Linked DNA regions of Tribolium castaneum. The protein of the gene in region 1 interacts with the protein of each later gene in a pairwise test. Links are inferred from orthologs where the notes say so. Each region holds a gene or a part of one and is shown on either strand. Other genes may lie near its edges.

The links.
Region 2: the proteins of stck (region 1) and ics interact in a two-hybrid assay, tested with the Drosophila melanogaster proteins (3 studies listed by BioGRID). The link is inferred for Tribolium castaneum from reciprocal best matches to the Drosophila melanogaster genes stck and ics.

What each region holds. Positions count from the first base shown.
Region 1 is NC_087400.1:2,455,571-2,459,499, reverse strand, and holds the start of stck (LIM and senescent cell antigen-like-containing domain protein 1), read right to left. Parts: upstream 2,389-3,929; coding exon 2,207-2,388; intron 2,102-2,206; coding exon 1,985-2,101; intron 1,934-1,984; coding exon 1,628-1,933; intron 1-1,627.
Region 2 is NC_087397.1:10,354,995-10,358,500, forward strand, and holds ics (ras suppressor protein 1), read right to left. Parts: upstream 2,026-3,506; 5' UTR 1,953-2,025; coding exon 1,805-1,952; intron 1,590-1,804; coding exon 1,539-1,589; intron 1,490-1,538; coding exon 1,250-1,489; intron 1,205-1,249; coding exon 1,122-1,204; intron 1,067-1,121; coding exon 819-1,066; intron 774-818; coding exon 689-773; 3' UTR 505-688; downstream 1-504. Other genes in the region: Nemp (nuclear envelope integral membrane protein), read left to right, coding at 366-495; uncharacterized protein LOC103315046, read right to left, coding at 2,762-3,433, 3,494-3,506.

The DNA.
Region 1 (3,929 bases):
TTTTTACCTCACAAAAAAGGTAAAATACGAGTATACCACTTTTTGAGATAATTTTAAAGTTTTTCGACTGATTATTGATAAAATTTAGCGAAAATTTCGACCGAATTTAGTGTTTCATCGATTTGTTTCCAACAAAATTCGAAATAATTACTGAAAAATTGAACTAAAAGCCGAAAAACGATCGGTTTTTATCTTAAAACCTTGTTTAAACCACCCCACTCCGCTTTTTTTCTGGTTATTTTTGGCTAACGCAAAAAAGGTCAAATCACACAATTTTCGCTCTGTTTTGGTCATTTATTGTCTTTTCCACCAAATTTTTGAGAAATATTAATAATAAAGTCTCTAAAAAATGTAAAATACGGACGAAAAAAGCAAAATTTATTTTTATTTTTGCCCCTATTTAGTAATTGTTCAAATAATAATAATAAATAATTTCGACTCAAAAAAGTTGCAATAAAGTAAACAACCGTTCAAAGACAACGCAATTTTCGACCAAAATTTTATGATTTGTCGGTGGATTTATATCAAATATCTCCCACAAAAAAAATAGATTAAAGCAGTAAAACATGTTTAAAATAAAATTTATTGGAAAACGTGCCAAGAGACTTAAAAAAAACAAAAAAAAACAAATTAATTTTTGACGTAATGTACTACTATATCAAACCGTTAGCTAAATTATCTCCAACTTTAAATAATATTATTTTACTTTTATGCAAAGAAAACGCACAAAAACGGCCAAAAAAGGCAATAAAAACATTTTTTCTTGCCTCACATTAAAAAAAATCCGCAGTTTTCACACCATTTTCGCTTTGACCAAATTTTTTGACGTCTATCTCACCAAATTTTGAAAAAAAAATTAATAATATAGTCGTTTCTGTAAACGAAAAACTGTCTTTCTTTTTTTTTTCAAATAAACAATTGAGTTTTAGACTGAAGAAAGTTGCAATAAAGCGTCCAAAAAAATTAAAAGCTATTTAATTTCTCGAGTTTTTAGCACTATAAAGTGCACAACTGTTCAAAAATAACGCAATTTTCGATTGATTTTCGAGCAATTTTGCGAAATTCGAAATAATTGCTCAAAAATTGAACTAAAAGCCGAAAAACGATCGGTTTTTATCTTAAAACCTTGTTTAAACGCTTGAAAAAGGTAGTATGAGGATCAGTTTCGATCTAATTTGGTGACTTTTCGGATTGACATTGAAAAATCTTGCAAAAATAACTCAGTTTTTAGCTCAAATACTCACCACCCCACTCCACTTTTTTTCTGGTTATTTTTGGCTAACGCAAAAGAGGTCAAATCACACAATTTTCGCTCTGTTTTGGTCATTTATTGTCTTTTCCACCAAATTTTGGAAAAATATTAATAATAAAGTCTCTAAAAAATGTAAAATACGGACGAAAAAAGCAAAATTTATATTTATTTTTGCCCCCATTTAGTAATTGTTCAAATAAATCATTGAGTTTTCGACTGAAAACAATAAAGTAAACAGCCGTTCAAAAACAAGGCAATTTTCGACCAATTTTGATAAAATTTCGCAAAATTGCTAGAAAAAGAGAAAAAAACAGCTCCACGTTCGCCTTTATTTAATTTTTCGAAATGAAAACCATTTCCTGTCATTATACTTACTGGCACTTGTGGCAGACGTGTTTCCCCGACCCTATGGCTTTAACCTTGGCATTGCATTCATGACATAAAGCCCGTCCTGCATTTTTAATAAATCCAGTATCCGCCAATTCCGTCTCGCACATCTCGCAACGGAAACATTCCGGATGCCAGCTGGCATTCATGGCCTTGATGACCCGCCCGATGATAAAATTATTACACTTTCCACAACACGGAGCAAAGAGAATCTGGAAATCTCTCTCGCAGTACTTGCGATCGTCATACTCGTAAAAAATCCCATCATCAAACTCTTGGAAGCACTGGGCACAGCTGGAGATTTTTTATTAAAAAAAAAAAAAAAATTAAAAAAAAAATACTTACACAAAACACTGCTGGTGCCACAGTTGTCCAGTAGAATTGACGATTTTTTCATGCGGCTCGAAACCGTCGCCACAACGGGCACACAGCATGTTGTCCAGAGACATGGTCGAAGTGACCCTAGAAACCAGCACTCACTTGTTTACGGGTTATACGATATGTTGTAATCTCTTTTCATTCGTCAAAAAACCACAATTAATAATAAATAAGAGTGAAAATTATTACGTGCGTGAAAAGCCATGTTGTTGTAAATCGGATTTGTCGATAAATTCGTAGTCAATGTCTTGGAAACTGCGATATTCCTCTGAAAGATCATCTTTCGAGTTGGCCCTTCTTTGAAACAGCCTACTTTGGGAGATTGAACCCAGTGATGGGATACTTGGGGACAAGTCTATTTTCGAAAACATTGATCTAATGTATGTCACACGAACACTCTAAAAGATTTTTCCCCTTGTAAACTACATCTAATCTATGGCTTAAATCAACAAATCGTATAGATATCGTCAAGTCCAACAAAACGTAATAGTAGGTCTAGTTATACGAGTGAGTGTTAGAAGCTTATTATAATAAAGGTAATAATTGTCAAAAATTCGTTACCACAACCGGAAACCACAGATAAATTGTGACTAAAGATAGTGTTTATGTTGCTAAGTGTTTAACTTTTCCTCTTAATTGCAAAATGACGTCACAAAGTAAATAAAAATATGACCTGGCACGAATCTCGTATTTTTTACATTTTTCGCACCATTTTTTCTTATGCAACGAGCGTATGCGAGAACTTTTCGTATGAGTGTTATTGATAGAAAATTTTATTTTAAAACACGTTGCTAGGGGAAGTAATTAAAACACTAATAGCTTTTTTGGTTATAATTTTTTATTTTTTCTATCAGTTTAATAAAAAATCCAAAGCAAAAGAATTTTTTTCTAATTATACTGACGTTTCTTGTCTTATCTTATCTTTTATGTATTGTACACTAATGTTTTATACTTTATTTCTTTTTTATAACGAGCTATGCAGTATTTTTATATTTATTATTATTGAAAATATTGAATTTTAGTGCAATTTTACGAATTGGAATAAAAAAAATTGAGTATTTGATCATAGAAAAAGAACTAAAACGTCCAGCAGCTTTATGGTGACGTCACATTAGATGGAAGAGTTAGGTGAGACACCCTGTATTGTAACTGAAACAATTGATTTTGTTTCAGCAGTTCCGATTTTGTGACTATAACACGTTCTTATCCAGAAAACAAAAACATGAATTAGAGATTATCAGTAATTACGGCATTATTGATAAAAAATGACCTTGACATACAAAACATAGGTCATTTTTTTAAGTGAAATTTCTAATACAAGTAATATGGGGGATCAATGATATACAGAGTGAATAATTTAGAACATACCTTGTACTATTAAGTACAGTAATAATGATACAACTTCCGGAATTAAACCAACCAACTAAAGAGGCAACGCCTACTTTTTAATGAATTACTTTAACTTTTAACAGTTGCGTAATACAACAGAATGCTTACCCTGGCATTGGAATTGGTGACATTTTGCTGTACAGTTAATTCCAACTCGTCGTAAGACCTGGAAATTGAAGAAAAAACACGATATGTAACTAATTTATTTCCAGGCCTACTGAAGAGAACAGGGGTTAATAAACTCAAAATAGCATTCCAGTCCTTACCAACAATTATTCGGAAGAGTCTACAATATTTTAAAACTTTTAAACAACCAGAAAAATGAAAAATTCAACACTTCATGCAAGCTAAGAGCAAGAAAACAAGAAAACTGTCAAAGCAACCAATCACGTTCAAGAAACCAACAATTACCATTTAAAGGAAGTGGGCCATGAGGAGGAGATTTGCTGGGTTGGCGACCGTGTCCAGAAAGGCGCATACTTTTAAAAATAACTTTTAAACAAGGTTTTATTTCCTAAATTGT
Region 2 (3,506 bases), on another chromosome or scaffold:
TTTTTTTTCGAAAGGCACATAATTTAAGCAAAAACGCTTGGGTCCACACTTTTGCCCAACGCTGGTAAAATGAAGTCAACAGACAGCGTAGCTATTTATACACTTTCTGATTAAGAAAAAGTTGATAACAGCTTGTTACCCGTCTTTTTAATCCACTCCACAAAATGTCCAGGATATTTTATAACAACTTTGCACGCTGCAAATTCTCATAATCTAATGAATTTATTATTTGTGACTATTAGTCAACAGAGAATTTTTTTAATTTCGTTTTTTTTCCGTGCGTTTCCAAAAAATACGTAGGAGTTCTATAGGTTACTGTCTATGGTCAAGTTAGCACAAGTGGCGCCATCTAAGTTTTTTTTCAGATTTGCGTCGTTTATGGAAGGCAATTCGCATTTGAGTGATGAGGAAATTCTAGAGTACGAAACGTCGATCCACACGACGGATTTAACGGACGATGAGAGTGAATATACGGAGGATGAGCAGTGTTTTTAAGACTGACAATTTCGTTAATTATTTATTTACTTATTTGCATTATTGTAAAAACTGTAAAATACAATTAATTTTTACTTAAAGCTGGTACATCCAAGGCCACAAAAATCAAATAAAAAAAAACGTAATTAGTATAATGGCAGTATTTTTCGTTTTAGTTAATTAGTCAATTAATTAGGTAAAAAAAGGCACGAGTTCAACGTATTCGCGATATTTTTTTCGCTTTGTCGACGCAAGGTGGTGGAACTTGTGGTTTATTAGTCGAGTAGCGATTGTACGTTCTGAAAAACAAACGTTAAACTAAATTAAAGTTTTATAAAACGTACATTCTGTAAGCCTCTGAGCGCAAATATTCCATCAAATGCCCGACTCCTAGTTGCAACTGATCCGCGATAGGAGCCACCCATTCATTGCCTTCAAACCTAAAAACAGACTTATTCGACGTCATGTCGAGATTCCCGAGTTCAGGGGGCAGTATCGTGAGGCGATTTCCTTGCACATGGAGCTCACGCAGTCTCGTCAGCTCCCCCAACTCTCTTGGTAACTCAATCAAATCGTTTTCCCTCAAAACCAACTGAAACACCCCGTTATTCCCACCTCAAATAACATAACGTCAAATATTTGCTTACAATCTGCAAGTTTTTGAGATTTTTCACCTCGGGAGGTAGGTACTCAAAGTCGTTGTCGCCCAAATACAGGGCTCGTAACGTTTCTAGATCAAAAATTAATCATTTGGAGGGAACCAATTGTAAATTACCCATCATGAAGAAATTTCCTGGGAGTGATTTTTCGTTCAAATTGTTGTAAGTCAGATCGAGAACTTCAAGAACTGGAAAGGCGCCAAAGCCGCGAGGAAGATTATAAAGACGATTGATTGCCAAGTTGAGAATTCGTAACTTTGGCATTGATGATAAAGAAAGGGGGAGTTCCTCAATGTGGTTGTTTGTTAAGTTCAAAATTTCGAGGTTCGTCAAGTTTGCAAGAGCCGGCGGTACGGCTAAAAAGGGTTTTTAGTTTACGGCCCAAGGGCGGAAGCACCCACTTACATTTGATCTTGTTGTGGCTTAGCGTAAGCCTGGTAATGTAAGTCATATTAACTAAAAAATAAATCAATCAGTTCCGTGTTCTATTAATAATTCTATTTATCTTATTATCTATGTAGTAAAACTTATTCCCCATTATTAGAGATAAAAAATTGTATTATTATTTATTTATTTTTCTTGGGAATGTTAGTTAATTTTGGGCCACGCCCACCCAGGTGGAACAAGATACCAAATTAGGTAAAACCTTGCCGAGGAGTGATTCCACTTACGTAAACCTGGTGTTTCTTCGAACGAAGAAATGGCCTTATCGGCCAAATCAATTTCGAGATTTCTTATTTCCCGAGCTTCGTCTAAAACCTTTTTAGCCTTAGACATTTTGCTTGTGTTTGGAAGGCACGAAACTGGTGCTTGATTCATTGCGCGCGCACGAAAAGCCCGTCAAATTTAAAAAGCAACTGACCACGTTGAAAGCCACGCTCGAAGTGAACTTTTTCACTTGCCAGTGGTCTGACTGGACACTTGCCAAGTTTTTGTTACGTGCAGTGAGCTAATTGGATTAACAAACACGTTTGTGCTAATTAATGGAAGGAAGTAGAATAAAGACAGTTGGAACATAAATACAAAAGTTTATTTGACCCTTTCCTTACACTACCTACCTATTACCTAATATTAAATAAAAAAACTTATAATAATCCGGAATGCGGCCCGGCCCTGGACTCTGCGCTATGTGCTGAAACTCAAAAACATACTTGTTTAGTAGAAGTTGAACAAATAGAAAAAATATACGATTTCTAGAACGAAATATTGTGTATATGATAACATGGAACGATACATTTGTTACTCTACTTATTCCAGTCATTGTTACAGCCCTGAAGTGACTTGACTGCGTCTTTGACTGAAATCAGACCAAAGCGTGAAAATAACAATTCAACAAAAACAAATGACAATCCCAAATTCTGATTCCTCACTAATAATAAAAATGCTCAGAAGTTGGGATTTACCAAAATTGGACGCTACCGCACCTTTTGTTTCAGAAGGTGGACTGCAAATCCTTCTGAAGCTACAATCTCCAATCCGTGAAGGTCCTGAAAATTTAAAAAAACAATAATACTCCAGAATTCCACAAAACTAGCTAGTAACAATAACATTTAATCCTAAGTGCAAGGAAAGAGTTTGACTATACATAGACAACAAAGTATACTTAGATACAGACATTTTAAATTAATTCAGTCGTTCCAGGCTTGTTGGGCGTTTTCGCTGCAGGTGGCGCAAAACTCTAGCGAGACCTTGTGTCTTGAAACGTGTAAACATACTCCAACATCGTCTTCGTCTTCATTCGTAGTATAATTGTGCTCTTTTAAATGCAAGTTCTCCTCACTCGTTTCATTCGAAACAGGGTCTAGAATCGTATCAGTGACCCCCATAAAATCATCAAGTTCAATATTATTGAACAGATCGTCAGTAAAATCATTCAATCCACTTTCAGAGTGTGGACTTGAGAGAAAATCTGATTCAGGTGTGGGAAAACTCGGGTAACGTTTTTCCTCCCATGGGTGTGCTGTTTTTCTAGCTATAGCTTGCTTTGGCTTTGAAACATTCAAAGATAAACTCTGATCCAAGGATGTTGTGACTGACATACCTGTACTGTGGTGGATATTTTTTATCAAATTGCCAATATCTGCACTATTTGCAATCACACTTTTCAAGTATTTGATTTCTTTCTTTAAATCAGCGATAAGCAACGACTGACTTTCAATCACTTTGGAATAATTAGCATTCTCGGTTTTCAAATGCCCAACTTCTTTTTCAAGATTTGTGATGTAGATTTTCTTTTTAAGGCGATTTTCGCGGGCCATTATCGCGTTCCGTGACAGCCCCTTGGTCCTACGCCCACCCATCTGGAAACCCAAAAATTCATTACTCCCACGCCCAATTTTGCGTAAACGCGTTGGACTTACTCTTCTGTTGTGT